4 linked regions of the Drosophila melanogaster genome follow. The protein of the gene in region 2 interacts with the protein of the main gene of each other region in a pairwise test. Each region holds a gene or a part of one and is shown on either strand. Other genes may lie near its edges. The genes, in order: Cyt-b5, CG14194, CG11357 and CG12730.

What was found.
Region 1: the proteins of CG14194 (region 2) and Cyt-b5 interact in a two-hybrid assay, tested with the Drosophila melanogaster proteins (one large-scale study listed by BioGRID).
Region 3: the proteins of CG14194 (region 2) and CG11357 interact in a two-hybrid assay, tested with the Drosophila melanogaster proteins (one large-scale study listed by BioGRID).
Region 4: the proteins of CG14194 (region 2) and CG12730 interact in a two-hybrid assay, tested with the Drosophila melanogaster proteins (one large-scale study listed by BioGRID).

What each region holds. Positions count from the first base shown.
Region 1 is NT_033778.4:7,531,807-7,536,436, reverse strand, and holds Cyt-b5 (cytochrome b5), read right to left. Parts: upstream 2,932-4,630; 5' UTR 2,827-2,931; coding exon 2,707-2,826; intron 1,429-2,706; coding exon of another isoform or gene 1,342-1,428; intron 1,106-1,341; coding exon 821-1,105; 3' UTR 501-820; downstream 1-500. Other genes in the region: Gpo2 (glycerophosphate oxidase 2), read right to left, coding at 1-395. UniProt on the Drosophila melanogaster protein: Cytochrome b5 is a membrane-bound hemoprotein which functions as an electron carrier for several membrane-bound oxygenases.
Region 2 is NC_004354.4:19,191,751-19,196,562, reverse strand, and holds CG14194 (uncharacterized protein), read right to left. Parts: upstream 3,009-4,812; 5' UTR 2,732-3,008; coding exon 2,694-2,731; intron 2,616-2,693; coding exon 2,545-2,615; intron 2,140-2,544; coding exon 1,565-2,139; intron 1,505-1,564; coding exon 1,112-1,504; 3' UTR 526-1,111; downstream 1-525. Other genes in the region: CG7914 (uncharacterized protein), read left to right, coding at 3,115-4,062.
Region 3 is NT_037436.4:4,540,287-4,545,072, reverse strand, and holds the start of CG11357 (uncharacterized protein), read right to left. Parts: upstream 3,023-4,786; 5' UTR 2,969-3,022; intron 2,954-2,968; exon of another isoform or gene 2,431-2,953; 5' UTR 2,166-2,430; intron 1-2,165. Other genes in the region: CG32243 (uncharacterized protein), read left to right, coding at 3,905-4,008, 4,062-4,150, 4,226-4,360, 4,420-4,778.
Region 4 is NC_004354.4:5,514,569-5,519,279, reverse strand, and holds CG12730 (uncharacterized protein), read right to left. Parts: upstream 2,673-4,711; 5' UTR 1,860-2,672; coding exon 1,782-1,859; exon of another isoform or gene 1,780-1,781; intron 1,709-1,779; coding exon 1,436-1,708; intron 1,237-1,435; coding exon 1,141-1,236; 3' UTR 509-1,140; downstream 1-508.

The sequences.
Region 1 (4,630 bases), on a different chromosome or scaffold from region 2:
ATGTGGCTGCGTTCCTGCAAGGAGCAGCGAACACGCCGAAAGGCAGCCACGTCCAGACGCGAGATGGCCTGCTCCAGATCCCTGAGGCCGCCGTGCAACAGTTTGCTCGATTTGGAGGAAGTGCCGCTGCCAAAGTCATTCGCTTCCACCAGGGCGGTCTTCAAGCCCCGCGTGGCAGCATCGAGAGCACAGCCGGAACCCACGGCGCCGCCGCCAATGATGAGGATGTCGTAGTGGGTTCGCTTAAAGGCCTCCAGGCACATCTTTCGCGTGGGCAGCTCCCGTTTCATCTGTGGCACTGGAGTCGAGTCCGCTTGCCTTTCATCGAATCCAAAAGCGCCGTGGCCCAGCTTGGAGCTGCCCAGCATCACCGCCATTTGAATGATCTTGGCCATGGTATTACCCCCTGCTTTACACACCAAATTTGGACTATTTTTGCGTGGGTCAACAATATATCTGACATCTAACGAAAGCACAAAAATTTGGACGGGTGTTTGCTTGCTTTTGGAAATATGTTTAATGTACATACATGCGAATAAAAACTTATCGTTTTCGTTCCGTGCCTCAAATGTTGGAATATCAATGGGATAAATTACTTTTAGAGTCTAGAACCGCCGTCTGAAGGAATTACACGTGTAGAGGGTTGTACAAAAACGCCAAATGCCAAAAATTATCGTTAAAACTTAGCACAAATTTACTATAAAAAGCTTTCCCGCTCCACTGTCCCGCTCCTCATGTGACTCTCGGGCTCTCCGTTTGTTGATTAACTAAGCGACTCCGGAGCGGGCTGGAAAGTCTCTGCTGGGCATTGTGGCTCCTCCTATTGCTTGGCACCGCCAAAGAAGAACTTGTAGAAGAGCGTGGCCACCAAGCACAGGACGAGGGGCACCAGCCACGACTTCACAGAACTCTCCTCGGTTTGCTGTTCCGTGCTCCAGGTCGGCTCCGACTTCTGGGCCACGCTTGTCCTTTCGCTCTCCACCAGCTCACCGATTTTGTACTTCTTCATCATGTCGCGGGCATCGTTGCTGTGGCCAACGTCCTCAAAGTTCTCCGTGGCATCTTTGCCGGCCTGCTCGATGAGCACCTCTTCGCCACCGGGATGCTGTCGTGAAGGAAAAGAGACAGATTAATATATTCGCATAAATAACTGTTGGCTGATCTTGGATAAATGCTAATGGACGTCTGACCCTGAATTTCATGGACCAGACAGCAGAGGGTATGGTATCAAGGTATAAAGTCGGGAATGCTTCGAAACATTCGTTTATGCGGAAGCTTTATGGTAATATTTTATACTTCCGTTGCGTTGAAAGTAAAAATATCACAACTAATTTCAGTTACAGATTTAATTTGGCACTTATAAGCCAATAAAGTTACAGAAACTTTGATCCTAAGAACTCGAGCGAAGTTACGTTTTGATTGTACCATTATAATAATGTTGAAACTTTGTACTATAGCTTAGAGTCATGCTGAAAAAGCCGCGGAGCAAGTATGATGTAATTATTGTTATTAATTACTATTAAAAGCAAACAAGTTGTTTCGCCTCAATTGTGCTGAGTGATAAGCTAAAGTAATTTTAGCCAAACTCTTCAAGGTGGCCGAGTGCAATTGAATCGATGATAAGCGTATCTCATAATTATTTTCACAATTCTTTAAACTTTTACATAGTCCAACTTAGCCTTATCTAATTTCGATGATTATATTGTAATTACTGTGTTGGTTTATATATGACAAATCGGAACATACATATGCAGGAAACACATTGAATAAGATTCGTCAAAATAAACTGATCATGTTGAATAAATAACGAATAAACACGTAAAAAATAATCTTTAGATCCAGCAAACGCTCTAAAATCTGGAAGTCTAATTTGCGATTTGTCTGGTGATGCTGTTACGCAGATAGCAAGGTAACAGTAGCTAATGTTATTCCTTAAGATGGAAGAGGACCAAGCGGATCAGATTAGGGGCATGTTTTAAACATGGACTGGGGATGGCTGCGGTCGATAGGCGGACTGAAACTTTGGAATGGAATTATAAATTAGATGCTTGGTCACTCTCACTATTGTTATTTTCAGCGTGTACCTAAAGTGCAACGTCATCGTTAGATCGGAATTTTCACAGAGCTTATCTTAGATCCCGCAGATAGCGGGAATGCTTGTGTAGTCTATATGTATAGATTTGGTGATGACCCTACTGCTGCGTCAGGGTGATACACTTTTCGGAGCCGGCGGCAGTCGGTTTGTCGGTGGTGCACTTGCATAAGAATCCGAATTCAAATCGGAGTCCGTTAATCAAATGAGATGCAAATGCAGACGCGGATTTCGCTTAACACTTGACCCTCGTCGCCCATCACACACATATATACATGTATGCAAATGGATAGTTTCGCCATGTGGAGCTCTTTCGACAGCTGGGCGAAAGTGGCTGCTGGAAGTTTCGACGTCGCAGCAAATCTGCGAAATCCGGACGCAGGTCAAACTACCGTCCGGGGGTCAAAGTACAGACCTAATTGCCCCGCGATGCAAGTTAGAGTCGCTACATGTGGCTACGTGGGCTTGGGCTTGTGCTGGGGCTGGGCCCATTAGCTCATCGGGACAAGTGAAACCCAGATAAGGCCCAATAGCAAACGATGACCCCCATTTAGTGGTGGGAGCGGGTGCGGGGCGGTGGCACTCAGCTGCGACGTGTTCCGTGCGATTCTCACCTCGTTGAGGAAGGCGGTGACGTCGTAGATGTTGTTGTGTATGAGCAGCCAGGTGTCCTTGTTCGTGTTGTGCTTGGCGACCTCGGCCCGCGTGAAAGTCTTTGTTTCCTCGCTCGACATGGTGATCACTTGTTGATTTCTACTGCGCGTTTGATTTGTGTCACGGAAAAACTATTTGTCCAGCCTCGCACTCTTCCTCCAGGGCGCACGGTCTCACAGAACTGGTGGCCGGCGGTCACACTGGCGCGCAGCAAGATGGCTTGTTTACACCAACGCCTATCGATATCGAATAGTGACCGTTTAGACTAGCCAGATTGTTTGTGGTATGAGCACATATTTTATTATAATATATAATAGCTTATAACTTATTTATCTAGCTTATAATTTGTTTACAGCACCCAATACACAATATATCGGATTTGGAGCGGTGGTTATGCGATGCGATTGTATAGTGGATCACGGCTATTTTACCATCGACATGTAAAGAATACTGCATACTTTTGGGCGCGATAAGACCAGTGCTCCAAAGCACCTCATTAATTTTGGCGCCCAATTTGAAATGTGAGAAAACCCTTTAGTGAAATAAACGATTCAAATGAAATGTACAAACAAAATTCGTAAGCAAATTTATTTTGGGCAGACCATTTCATTAATAAAAATGTATTTCGAGCGGTATCCCAGCGAACTGGTTCCACCAGCGACGAATGCGCAGACTCGGATCTTGTATTTACACTCAAGCCCTGCCTTTATTCCATACTCGGCAAAGGAGACTTCAAAGTCAAACGTATCCTGCTGTACGCCGTGCGGCTGCGGCGCTCCTTCAATAAAAACAGTCGACACGCATTGTGAAGAGTTTTCCAAAAGCTACAGCGCTGTCCAATAGCGCAATTCAAGTTAACAACAAACTAAGCATAAATATATTGATAAGTGACGGCGGGTGTGCTTTTGATACGCAGCGCTTTTAGCTTTTTTACAAAGGTAAGTTCCTTATTACGCAATTGGCATCCTGGAGTGGCCTACGTGCGGTGGCCATTTTCTTGGGTCCGATTTCCTTTCTCTGGTATACATCCACCACTATGTTTCCTTTTCCGCTTCGCTGATGCGTAATTCAAGTGACGGGATTTATGCGTTAAAAAGTTATTAAGTTTTGCCAACTTCAATCATGCCCTTGGATCCCGATTTACGCGTGTTCTGGAGCCCCGTGGGTAAACAACTCTTATGGGGGACAATCCAAAACTGAGTCGAGTGGCCCGTAAATCATTCAGATTGTTTGTGTCTTCGGGTTATCAGCACCTGGAGATTTGACTGGCCAGTAAACACTTACCAGCCGGGGGATACCTGTGCAAGGTGTTAGGAGAAGCACCCAAGCTCTGGATTTATGTATCCATTGCGGGTTATATGCGATATTCTTGGGGTAGGCGTAATGTGATTGATTACTTGTCAGAATAGTGGAGTATAATGCCAAAATTAGGTGTGGGTTTGGTTTATATATAGATATAGTATACTTATTATAACCCATTTAAACGCAATCGACGATTGTAAATTAGTACCACACACGCACTACTGGAAAACAAGAAAAACAAAGTCGGAAACTCAGATCTTGATTGCGATCGAAGGCATTATTCTCACTCACACAAAGGCTCTAAAAATAGCCCTGTTCCTGCATATTTTTTACACCGAGAGTTCACTTCGGTTGGCCGCCAGCGATTCAATTAAATTTTATGTCTCATTGCTGCATAATTGACGACATTTTCCGTTTCGGGCGGGGAAAAGGTGAGACAGTGGTCAACATTTTCCTGGCGCGACAGCACCACTAAATTTGCATTGCCAATCCGTCATTAGACTCGATTGATTCCGCCATTAAATACAATTGACTAGAATTGACGAACAAATGTTTTCAATTCAAGCGCAACAAAAAAAATGA
Region 2 (4,812 bases):
CGATATGTTATGCAATAGTTAAGTTGCCAGTTGCACCTCGCGATCGATCAGATATATATTGTATTTGAATTATTGTTAATGCTTACACGGCCTGCGTTTAGCCCACTTTAACTATATCTATACTAATGTATAACTCTGTCCCGCTCCATTTCGATTCCCCATTTCCGATTATGTGCCTCACTCTCTCTTTCCCACACCCCCAAGAATATGTACTTCCAGTCGCATCCGATCCGGTTGCAGACTATATTCATATATTCATATATATATATATATATGCGCTTTATATATACCGCTCACCGGCTAATCTTCAATTATTTTGTCCGGCAAATGGATGGTCACTTTTTAAAATGCAACTTTTTACCTTTGCATAACTTTTTAGGCGACACAACGTAAGAGAATTAATTAAAAATGAAATGCAAAACTTAACTATGAAATACATATGTAAACTTTGTAGCTTCCTAATTGAATAAAGATAAATACAACTCACACGAATTTCGAACCATTTCATCATCGTCTTTTCATTTTGATGGAAGCACTTAAGTATATTTCTCGTTTTCACGTACTCTGTTAATTATTTACACTTTATAGTAGGTCATTACACATAAGTGGGCTTCTCAAGGTGTGAGAGATGTTTTACATATAATACTAGCACACGAGTCAAAATTCCGAATGCGGCGCTGTTCAATTTGTGGTCAAGTTGGAGTCCGATTCGGGTCTGGACAAAAGCGTGTGGTGGTCAGGTCCTGTATGCATGTATGTGCTATATGTGCTATCATATGCAGGCGGATGCGTGGAAGGGAGCATGGTGGGTGCGATGTGCTTGGTTGGTTGGTTGGTTGGTTGGACATGGTTCGTGGGCGGTGTTAGCGTTTGTCTTACAATTAAAATTCAGTACAAGTCTAAAAGCTACGACGGAGACGTGAGTGTGTAAGTGGGTATGGGTATGCTTAACAATGCCTAACATAAACACCTGAACAAAGGTGTGCGGCGTCTCCTTGTGCGCGTGCAAAGAGGCTGTCCTTAAGTCTACGCGGTTCTTGCGATTTATTGTAAATGTTGCTGTTTTACTGTTGCTCCTGTACTGCTCCTGTGCTGTACTGGCCGTCTATATCTAGTCCGGCAGATCGATGCTGACGAACGGAACCACCGGCTTGAGAATGTCATTCTTGGCCCCCTTCTTGCTCTTCTTGTCGTGCTTGTGGAACTCGTGCAGCTGCTCGCTGGCCGCCATGCTCGTCGAGGAGGACGCTGCGTCCAGCGGCATGGACTGTGCAGCATTGCTGTGGGTTTCCGGGTGATAGCTGATGTTGCCGTACTCCTGCAGGAACGGCATCGCGGACAACAGGAACTGGCTGAAAGACTTGCGGATGCCGAACCACCACATGTTGCCGCCCTTTGCCGAGGAGCTAAGAACTATTAGCGCCAGAATAGAGACGAGCAGCGGTGAGAAGACCACGATGTACGGGAACTTAAGCTCGCCGTCCAGCTTGTCGCAGATGACCACCTGGCGGAATAGATGGGTTAGCGATGCACAATCTTTTGGAGGGACTAGATGAGGTCTCACCTGAAAGCAGAGCAGTGGGAGCACCGTGCAGATGTTGCCCACCGCTGCGTTTAATGCCGCCTTCTTCTGCTGCAGCGAGACCTCCGGCGTACGCATCATGATGCCACAGAAGATGATGTTATACAATACGCTGACCAGGCTCAGGCATATGACGATCCACATGGGCACAAACACTACGTCCCAGTTCCAGTAGACAAAGCGATCCAGCTTTAGCGGCAGTGAAACAAACTGAAGCGCGTTGACCGCCAGGAAGAGCTCCAGCTCGAAGGAGCGATCGTGCTTGACGGCCCAGACACAGGCGCCCACACTAACCACCGAGCCGAAGATCAGCGGAATGAAGACCAGCACCCACAAGTGACGGTCCGAGGTCAGCTTATCGCAGGCCAGCAGCTCAAACATCAGCAGGATCAGGTGCAGGGCCAGTGAGATGAGCATCGCTTTGAACTGCGTGTAGGCATCGCCCTCGAGACGATAATGCGGATACCGACACCACACAATGGCTCCTACGATTGCGCCCAGGATGGCGGTGCATTTCCATATCCATAGCGGTGTGAAAATCGCCCAGTAGGGCCAATCTGGGATAAGGCATTCGATTAGACTAGGCTACTAGGCCAATTATAAGGTTAATGCCCTACAATAAATCTTGTTCAGTAATTAAAAATCTAAATATTTAGCTTAGATAAGTTATTTAAAATAGCGAGAGAACTAATATCCTCGTTAAGTGACCAAATTTGGATGATCCTCTATGGTCAGACGATTTCTTCGATATTGCTATATCCAATCTCATGATCTGCTTGCTAACCCTTGTATACAATAAATCTGGACTATTCTCTAGAAGAAGCGATGGTGCACCGTACACATATTTGTGTATGGGTCGTATATGCTTGTATTGTTATATGATTGTATTTTCTTGCATCCCCGTGCTATTTTAATTCTGGGTGACGTTGTGTATTCCAGAACTGCCACAGAAAAGTACCCACCAATGTAGTTGTCGAGGCGCAAGGCGAAGAGCGTGACAAAGATGAACAGGCTGCAGTGGACGATGAACTTGCTGAAAGGGAACATGGTCGATTATGTTTTAGATTGGGAACCCATGTGATCCGGTCGTCCGCAGTCGGAGGCTTCTCACCAGGGATTGAAGTCGCGGAACAGAGATTCCAGATTCATGTTGCTGAGGACACCATAGAGCTATGTCACTGGACACTTGGTACCTGGACACTAGTTGCTCGTGGGCACCCGCCGCACCGCGTCCGCTCCACGAAGCGATCTTCGCCCGAACAAGGCTGTGTGTTATGATGGAGTGGGGGGGCGGGGGCAGTTAGTACTCTACGCCTGGCGCCGATCTTTCACCCCTTTCCCTGTAGATATTCTGTTCTTTGTTTTATTTACACACTTTTTTGACTGGCATTTCTGTCCCGAGATTCGATATCGATAACTCTTGCCTGCTCTGGCGATTGGCTTGACTAAGGACTAGCCAGATGTCTGGCTACAATTCGCCAGATTTCCGGCTACGCTAGCCTGCTATCGATAGCCTCGATAGGCACAGGAAAATGTTATCTTATTTGGAAGATTTGAAGGAAAACGAGGACCAGCTGCGGGATTCAGACTGCTGCGGCAATGGCTGCACCAACTGCATCCTCGACAACAAGCCACGGCCAAGCAAACGCGTCCTGCTGGCTGGCAAACGCAACGTGATCCTGAGCTACACGAAGTTCCGCCTGTTGCGGCGGGAAGCGCTGGGACCCAATGGACAGTTGCTGCTCCTGCACTTTGCTCATGCAGCAGAGGAGGGGGACGGCGATGGAGCGGTGGACACGGTGCTTGACATCCCGCCCGGCCACCATGTGATGCTGCGCGTCGGCTCCCTGCTGCGTCCGTATTCGCCCTATTGGAGCGACTTTGTGGCCAAAGAGTTCCGTATCCTGGTGAAGCTGCAGCCGGAGGGGCCAATGTCTCGGCACCTGCAAGCCGTACAGCCCGACGATCTGCTGGAATTCCGTGGTCCCATCGGGCAATACGTACACGAACCGCAGCCGGCCAAGTGCATCTATATTATCGCCCAGGGAGTTGCTATTGCACCCACTCTGCCGCTGGTTCGGCAGGTGCTGGACAACGAGGAGGATATGAGTCGCCTGTGGCATTTGGTGTGCGCTCACGACCTGCTGCATGTCTACTTCCGCGAGGAGATGCTCGAGTTCGCCCAGTTCTGGAACTACAGGAGCTGCCTCTACCTGCCGCATCAGCAGTGTGACTCCTCCGCTTGCCAGGAGGCGGGCCACTGTGCCCAGCAGTGCCCTCAGCTCCGGGACAATCTACGCTACAAGGAGACGGCAAAGGTGTCCCGATTAGATGCCACCGAACTGGCCACCCACCTCAATCCCGCGATTCCCGGACAGCGTGTCCTCATCGTGGCTGGAGATTCAAGTTTTCAAAAGAACATCGCCCAAATAGCAACACAATCATTGGACGTAGATCCGGCAAACATTTATATGTTGTAAATGCCGGGAAAAACTGTAGTTGCTTATAAATATTTGAATATTGTTAATGAATTTGTGATCGTACTGGTTATACCGAGGGTTTTATATTTTTTATACCCTAGATTCGTTGAAAAGTATGTAACAGACAGAAGATATACATATATTCTAGATCTGGATCAATAGCCGAGTTGTTCTGGCCATGTCCGTCTGTCCGTATGAACGTCGAGATCTTAGGTACTATAAATGCTAGAAGGCTATCACGCCCACTCTAACGCCCACAAACCGCACAAAACTGCCACGACCACACTTTTAATAAATGTGTTGATATTTTTTCACATTTTGATTAGTCTTCATTAATTTCTATCGACTTGCAAACAACGTTTTGCTACGTCCACTCGAACGCCCAAAACTGCCACGCCCACATTTTTGAAATATTTTTAAATTATTTTATAAGTCGTGTAAGTTTCTATCGATTTAAAAAAAACTTTGGCACGCCCACTCTAACGCCCTAAAACCGCCCAAACCTGCCGCGCCCACATTTTTGAAATTTTTTTTGGATATTTTTTAATAATTTTATTAGTCGTGTAAATTTCTATCGATTTACAATTTTTTTTTTGCCACACCCAGTCTAACGCCCTAAAGCGGCCATAACTGCCACGCCCACACTTTTGAACAATTTTTATTCCCCAATATCTATCGATATACCAGAAAAATTCAGAAATTTCGCGTTCGCATTCACACTAGCTGAGTAAAGGGTATCTGATAGTCGGG
Region 3 (4,786 bases), on a different chromosome or scaffold from region 2:
TCGCGATTTGCACTCAATTAAATTTTTTGCTGATAAAAATTAAAACGAACTAGACAAACATGATCATGGCCATTTTTTGCTGTTCTTGCAACGCTCGGAATCGCTCGCATGTAAATTAAAGAAATCACACGATGATCCAGTAAGTAAGAAATCCAGTAATAAATTAAAGTTCTCCTGCAGTGCACAAATTTCGTGGATGTCTGGTTTCTATCCATTTACGCGCGCAATCAAGAAATTCCAAATACTTGCAATATTTATAGAATGTATCCACATCAGCAAATGCGTGTGTGAGAAGAGAGGCACGTGTATGTATTTGTTTAAAATAAAAGAACAATTTGCATTATACGAACATAAACTTTTAAAGTATTTTGGTATGCCTTATCTAAACAAATTCACAATGGAAATAAGTGTTATTCTCTCGATGTTCCGCTGGTTTCAAAAAAAAAAAACAATTATCTGATAAACATTATATTTATTTGAAGCATTGAATTTGAAAGTCTCACATGAGGGGATCACATGATGAAACGGAATGAATTATTATGTTCGAGTATTAGAGTATTATATTCTAGCTGATACTAGCACATTGATAAAGACCAAAATACAATTTTCTTAAAATTATTAAGATTGGTGTGCTTATACACAAAATTCTGTGAAACTTGCTACATGCAGATTACTTTTCGCATATCTTAGAAAAGCATGAATAAGTCGAGTGGAGAAACCCAAAAGGAAGTAGAAAACAGTTGAAAGATTAAGTTGTGAGACATAAGGATGTTATTTCATAAACGTACTGTTTAGGATCGCAAATCGCTCGAAATTCGGGTATTAATAATGAATAGCAGTTCGTACGTGTCGAAAATTTCGGCGCGGCAAGGGGGAGTAAAAGAGAAAGCAAAAAGCTGAAAACGTTGACGTGACGTTACGTCGGCGGAGAATCTCGGGGTCACTGTACGGACCAATAAAAGTAACACCGCCGACGTCTAACGCCTCGCACCGCCGGTTATCAGTGGGCCAGAAGGCGCAAACGGGTGAAAAGCGGTGACAGCAGCTGATAGGCAAACAAACAGTCAAGCAAAGCGTATACAACGTTATTTTGCGCCACTGAAAAAAGCGTTAAAGCCCATTCGACAGAGACGGCCGATCGAGGGGAGATGAATGTGGGAAAAAGAGAGAGCGAGAGCTTCTCGCGGAAGCTGGCGCAATTAAAAATCAGAGCTTCGCCAACGAGCATGTGATTGAAAATTTGAAGCGCCAATGCAAACAATGAACTTTAAACTGAACGGAATGATTGTAATTCCTTATAAGCCATAGTGCTCAATAAATTAAACATTAATTTAAAGTACACGTGTTAAATGTCTATTAGCGAAAATCACACAAAAATCGATTTAGATCCAAAATATCGCCCTTAGAGATATGGTGCTATCTTAGTGGGACTCGAACACGGTCTTCTTAGCGACTTCTTCTTCAGATAACAAATCTATTGAATATGTAATAAGTTGAATACATATGACTTGATTGATATCAGGAAAAATTGATATAGAAATGGGTTATTTTTTATTGATAAGCGGTGTATCGGAACTAGTGAGATTTCCACTGTACCTAAGTGATGAGGTAAACACTCTCGCAGTCTTGGGCAAACATTCAGACGGGAGCGAGGCGCACAGAAAGATAGGAAGAGGGAGACGGAGCGAGGCGGCACAGTGGGACAGGCCAAGGACAACGAGTTGAAAAAGGCGAAAAGGAGCAGACGAGCCAAAACGGAGGACAACAAACAGGCATGCGTGCCACTGTGCCTGAACTTGTTCAAGGTCAGTCCTCAGCGACAGCGACGTGCTAACAAAAAGCGAAGAAAATTCATGTTGGAAAAAAGCACAAAAGAAGAGCACACAACAACAACGCCTCTTAAAGGCGAAGAAAAGAGCGAAAGAAGAGATAGATGCGTATATAAAAAACAAAAAAAAAAAACGCTACCCACACATGAAAGAGAGTGAGCGAGAGAGCAAGTGTCCCTCCCCGCAGCAACAATGACAACAATAGGATACTGTTCAATGGATGCTGATAAGCAAAAGTAAAAGACAAAACCCCTCGAAATCTGGAGAGATAGTATCCAAGCACTCGCATAATTAATTTCATACATTTTATGCTTTTTTTTATGTATTAATAGTCACCTGCTGGTTGTTCGCCTGGCTGCTTCCTCATTAGCCAGTCAGTCGAATCCTTGCGGGAGAGCGAGGGAAATGGCAACAAATGTGCGTTTTTAATTAATTTCCATGTGAAGCACTCACGCACACTTACACACACCCATCGCTTTGGGTAACAGTTCAAAAACAGAGTTAGAGCGAAAGAGACACCAATTGGGAGTGCTAATTCAACACACACGCGCACGCAGCACTTAATTTGTATAGATTTTTGGCATCAATTTGTTGTTGGCAGCTGGAATAAATTTACTTAACTTAACACAATTTTCAAGCTTGCACACAACCACACCAACACGAACACCTATACAGACGCGGCGAAAAGAAATGCAAAAGGAGATGAAGAGGAAGAAGAAGAAGCAGGCTGAAGGATGCTGGGCCTGGATTTCTCTTTCCTTTTTTCGCTGCCCAAAAAGGCGTTGACAGCGCTTTTATTCACTTTTAATTCATTTAACGATGGTGTTGTCCGACTTTAATTGTTTATGCGCTTGGGTTTTTTAAGAAAAACTGAATAAAAAACGGAATAACCGCCGTCACTCGTCGAAAAATTCTCGGCGCGGCTATTGTTCACTTATTATCATGTCATATTTTCCAACTGATTTGAAAGACAGTATTTTAGAGAATAAGTATACCGAGCGAGTTATCAGCGACGTGTGCAATTTTTATGCACTTTTTTAATATTTTAAGTGGAAAATAAAACACAGAGCGTTTCAGAGGGCGCTAAATTGTTTTTTGCCCGTTCGGAACTGAGTAACTGAGAAGCGTAGCGTTATTACCAGTCTTTTTCTTCTTTTTTGTTGCTGCCCCGTTCGAATTTCTCTCGCACTGTTAGCCGCTCTCAGTTGCTGTTAAAGCGGCGAAATTCACTGTTATATTTAACAGAGGCGTTGTTGTTAGTTGTAAAGAAGGGCTGTTAAGGGGAGTTGGCTTCATAAAACTTTTTGAATATTCAGAGTTAAAGAAATCTAGTTTTTAACAATATTTGTATCAAAACACATTTAAAAATATTAACATGTTCAGTATTAATATATATTATTTAAGTATAAATTTCAAAAACCCCAGGCATAAGATTTTATATACACCACTGGAATGTTAACTGAAAGCGGGAGATAGGGATGGAACTCAAGCATCGACACGCGTTTAAAATTTGGGGTGACCATTTCTATCGCTTTCTCATCTAGCTTGCCTAGATTTTCAAGATCCATCTGCCAAAATTGCTATCGATTAAAGTGCATCGGCTCAGTCGCCATTCGTAAGTTGTAAATTACGAAGAAACGCAATGATAATTGATTCAACCGATAGGAAACCTATTTTAACTTAACATTAAGATTTTAACTTTTTAAATTGCACTAATATCGTTATCAGCCAACTAAATTTTGTAATTACTTAATTACTTAATAACAAAAATTAGAATAATATTTAATTCGTTGAGTAATAATGCCTTTTATGAAACCTAATTATTTACAAACAGTCGAATGTAAACAATATTGGGGTGATCATAAACATTAAGAGATATACATTTTGATAAGTGTTTTATTTAATGTTTATTTAAATTACAAATATCCCTAATATGACTGGTAAATACATCATATTACTTAGATAGTGACAGTTCGTCAGCACTGACTATCGATAGCCGCCTTTTGTTGCAACTTCCATCTTCTACGTGCAACAGAAGAAGTTCTAGAAATAAGCAGGAATAAAAGTTTGCAAAAATGAGTGCTCCAAAAGGGGACGGAAACTTAGTTCCCACAGTCAGAGAAGTGCAGCAAAAGTTTGCCGACATCCTGGGCCATGGCAACGATATAACCTGGGATCTGTAAGTAGGATTCATCCGAAAAAATTGCAAATTATAAAGCTCAAGGTTTGCAGAATATCGTCGGGTCAAGAAAACATATTGAAGGCAAAGCTGTCTCTGCTGAATTTCGATTCTAACATGTTTCATGCGATCTGGAGTTATAGTGAGTTATAGTTATAGTAAAATTAATAATATATTCCAAATAAGCGTCATTATGTTATCTACTTTCTCATATCAGGAAAATACTCCAAAGGGCAGTCACTCACGTCTTTATTTTTTGTGATGGTTGTCAATAATGTATATGATCCCAAGCTGGCCGAAGAAAGTAGATCCTGGCGCCTGTATCCGGTGTTTCGATGCCGACGATGCGTGGGTAAGCTCGATAGTTATAAGTAAATCGAGAAATGTATTATATTTTTTTATTTGTACAAGATGAAACTGGACATTCCAGCAACATTGACTGTTGCATGTCATATGTGTCACAGTACTCAATGTCTGATTCCTGGAACCGATTTGTGACCCATACGGGGTTTGCCGCAGGTCTAATGGTCACCCCGTATCTTGGAGTTTACAAGCAAACCGATGGTCGCGTTGAGCTAAAAACGTATACTACCACTCAGATATGGCACCCAAATAAGAAAGATATACCAATAACACCCGAATCGTTGAAAAAAGCATCCAGTGTGACTAATAAACTTAGAAAAATCATCATACATTCAGTTCCATTTCTGGTTTATCCTGAAGAGGTTTTCGACTTCTGCGCCAGTGAAAAGATGCTTTCGTCGATTTTGGTATAAAC
Region 4 (4,711 bases), about 14 Mb from region 2:
AGGCGGGAGCCCCCAAAAACAACACAAACAATAGACGAGCCAAGTGCTTTTTTGTGGGCGTTGGGTGCTGCTTGTTGGGTGATGATGGTTGTTGCGTTTGTGGGTGGTTCAAAAGATTTGAAAAGCCAACAATGGCAACAGCTTACAGAGCACCGAAACCAAAACGAAAACGAAACAAGAAGCAAAATCAGACAGGGGGGCACCATAGTGTACCTGTTTATTTTCAGTTTCAATGCGGATAAGGTAAACAAAGGTTGGCGATATCTTTTTCATGGAGCGCCGGTTGCAAAAATTCTATCCGGCAATGTTAGGTGAAAATAGCTTGTTGTGCAAGCAAACATGGTCGCAAAAGTAGTTCGTGTAGTAAAATAAATAAACAATAGCCTCGGGAAAGTGGCCTTTTGCGTAAATGAATCAATAACAATATGCACGATCAACAATTGACATTCAAGCCCAATTTACGCATATGAACTCTCATCATTAAAAAACACCCTTCATTTACAAATTACATTTATGTATTTTTGTTTTATTCTTCCATTGCAAACGATTTATTTGTTTATAAATACAACAATTCAGTGGTCATGAAAAGCATTGTGCTAAAAACTAACTACTTCAATGTATATTCACTTGAGACACACAAATACTATGTACTTAATAAAAGTAAAAAAAAAATCGGGTATATATATGTACATATATATTCACGCATTGTTAACCAGTTATCAGAAGAAGGGAAGAAGCAGAGCCAGAAGGCACAATACAACTTATCTCTTTGGAATTTGCTCTCTTGTTAGTGGTTTTCTCTCGCTTTCTGTTCGCTATTATATCTACGTTATTGCTGCGATCGACTGGCTTTATCTTCTTCACTTCTTGACCTATATCTAGCGACTATTAGATAACACATACGGTAACTGTTCCCGCGACAAAAGCTTGCCACAATTTCAAACTTCAGACTTAAATGCTTCAAGCAAACGCAAGCGATACTCGCTCTCTCAAAACAAACTCACACACACGCGCACGCACTGGCACTCACACAGATACTCGTTCGCACACAGATACTCGCTCTCACACAGATACACACACAGAGTAAGCCTAACGTAGTAAGAGCCACCAAAAGCTGGGTTCGTGCACCTGAAACCAAGTCTATATCGTTTGGGTGGCCACCTCCCGCTGGCGACTGCGCCGATAGTTTCCATAGGCCTCCAGTCCGTTGATGCAAAATGCTGTCAGGCCAAAGAACTGTAAAAAAAAAGGTGAAGAATAGGGTGTATTAGACGGATCTACAGAGAGTTCATCACAGCGAGGGAATGAATCGGCTCCAACTGGAGGCTCAGTGTTTCGTTTACCAGTATCTTTCCTAGCTTAATCATTAGCCGAAACAATGAGCCGTAATACTTTTGGTTTCCGAACTTATCCTAACTGCGAGAACGCCACTTACCGCCGCCGCCGTATAGGCTCCAATATCCAGGGAGAGTACGAGTCCGGAGGCCGTGAAGTAGGCCAGGGCCAATGAGGAGTGCACCGCCAGGGACCAGAGCGTGGGATCGCATCGGCAGAACTGGCGCTGCCACAACCGGAGATACCTGGCCAGGAGCAGGCAGCCGGTGGCCACGAATCCGATGGTGACTACGGCCAGGTAGAAACTGCCGCGGAAATTGCTCACGCGCACCGGTCCGCAGATGATGCACAATATTCCAACAAAGCTGCACAGCTGAAAGACGCACACATACAAGCGCACACATTAAGGGCGATACACAATGGCACATATGTGTAAGGCTAATTACCAAACAGGCCAGCTTGCACAGGCCCGGCATGCTGAGCAGGTATTTGCGATCGTAGTCCTGGGTTCCCGTCAACGACATCGCGGCCAATACAAGATATATACGTTTTGGATGCAGTTAATCCAGATTGTCCAGCCGAATAGATGCCTCAGAAACGAGCGATTAAAGCCAATGTAGCAAATGTAGCGAAGCGCCGCTGACTAATTCATATTGCGCTCGCCAGCACGCACAGAATGCCACTGAAGTAATACAAACAACACAAATACTCAGAATTCTCCCATCGTTACACTCGGCGAATAAAACTACAATTGCGAGAGCGAGAGAAGCAGCGGGCGAAAGAGAGAGAGAGAGAGAGAGAGAGAGAGAGAGACAGAGAGCGAGCAACACATGGCACAGTGGGACGAAACGATCAGGAAATGTAGTACATATTGTGTACAAATTGTGTTATCTACTCAAATGGTATCTAATGAAACTATAAATATTAAGGAGATTAGCTTTAGCTGGGTATTTATAAAAAATAGGATTATTAGTTTAAGAAAGCTGTAATTTCCAATAAATGAATAAACCATATTAACTTGTCTTACTAACTGTAGTTTTGGGGGTCTGTTCATTGTGAATGCTTCTTCGTTACATTATACTAATTTTCGTTCGGGGGATGTCAAGGGGTGAATCTAACACGGTGTGACTCACTGACCTCCAGGGATATATTAAATATATGTATATTCATAAGGCAAGGTGACCGGTTACTGGGTGAGCAAAGCTTTTTTAGTCGTGTGAAGTGCCGAGCTTTTATGACTGGCATTGCTTGTGACATGCAGTTTGAGGTTGGGCCCTTTTTGGACCACTGTGCATTCGAATTTCCATCTGTATCTTAATGCCCAGCATCATTAGATTGTGCCATTCGAATCGTATTTGTTATCGGCTATGACCGAAACGCTTCTCGTTATTTTAATCGGCACAGCAGGCTAATTGATTTAGTTACTTAACGGATAAATCGCTGCACAAATCCGAATGCGAATGCAAATGCGAGCCTCCCAAAATCAAATGCAATTTCGTCGTGATTCACATTGCAAAACACAAGCTGCCCAGCACATATCATACGGAATACGTGAATATACACAAACCATTTGGTGGCCAGATAAGTTTGACGAACTTTGAACACACTACTCCATACAAAAGAAAAAAATTTTATGATACAAAGCTACAAAGATATTACAGATACAATTTTTTCATTCATTTAATTTTGATTTCTCGCTACTCATGTACTATTTTCCACATTCAATTGTTAAAGTTCTTGAAAATGCATAGATACTTGTATAGGGTAGCAGTCGAAACACTCTGGCCCGACATCAAATTGAGTTATATTAATTGACTCATATTCATGAGAGGTGGCTCGTTTACGAAATGGCCGCATGGGTGGCCCCCGCCTCCTGGCCAAGGTCACTTGCACAATCGCCTCGACTGACTGAGATTCAGAGACATTCACAGTTTCACAGATTCACATATTCTAATGCAGAGCGGAAAATGCTGAGTGAGATATCTATGCGACGGAAATCGGCCACAACAAGCGGAAATGAGCACGAAAATCATAAATGAACTGCACTTGAGCAATTTAAGCGATAAAGTGCAGTTTCCATTTCGAGGGTAACAAACAGTCAGACGACTGCAGGGCAACTAATGTCTACATGATTTCTAAAAGCTCATGCATATATATGTATAAACATATATATATACATAAATATGGGAGGCACGAGATTTGCGCTCATCGATAAGCATCGAATCGTCTGGACAAGCGGGGAAAATGTGCGGCGGAAAAGCGAAGAAAATTGACTGGAGAGCGGATTTACACTTGAGGGCGTGCGAGTCTCAATGGCAAAAAGCTATGATTACCTATGGACATTTCTTTGATTTCTTTAGGACTTTGAATTCGATAAGTGCACAGAGGACTTTATAAATGTGCGCTTTAAACCACTGAATAACAGCAAAAGCATCTAAATAGTTTTTAACTAAATATCCAACTTATACTCAGTGGCACGTTGCTGAGAGTGCATTGTTTAGTGATATATCTCGCCTACGATTCATGCACATGGCTGGTTTTTCGCTTACGCACTCAGGCAATTTCCATCGCTTTTCCACCCATGTTGTAGAGCAGCGGAGAGAGAGGGGGGCGGGGCCGGGGGGAATTGGAAAATGTGGGTGCATCTAATTAGAAAAGCATTCGCTGTAATTGCCAGCTGCTGCATCAGCAAGATTTTGTTTGCTTTGGCGACGGGATAACGTGGAGCAGGACCAAAGGCAAAGCGACATGTGAGCTATTAAGCAGTGTTCTGGCTGAAAAAATCCAGTTTCAGATGCATCAGAAGCATCTTTAATAATGACAAACTTGGCGATAACTATGACCAATTAAACGAAAGTTGGAGTAAACGTTTGCGAGCAGGCAGATAATTAGTTTCAGGCACTTTGAAGGAAGTTCGAAAGAAAGCGGCAAGTTGGGCCGTAGCCATTTCTCAACCTCGACAAAGAAGTGTGCCAGCTGGGTATCTGTCAGATACAGATACTAAGTTGCCCAGATACACGGCTCGATTTGAATGCAAATTTCGTGCAGTGGCTGTCAGACTCTGCAGCTGACGTGACAAGACCAAGACCACCCCCCCTAATTTCGAATCCCGAAATACCCCAAAAATAGCAACGACCTCAGCATATCTGCCAAGTGAATTTGAATCTGATATTCCCTTCGACTTTGGGCGCTTTTTATCCGCCAGCTGACAACCACCCCCATTTCCCCCCTCGGATTTTCCAGCTTTTTCCCCCCCGGGGAACAGAACATTTATGCGCCTTATAAATGATTATCGTGTGCACTCAAGTGCCAACGTCATCAATCAAATGGGCCAAGTGCAACAGGATGTCCTTGCCGCCATTCTTTAAATATCCTT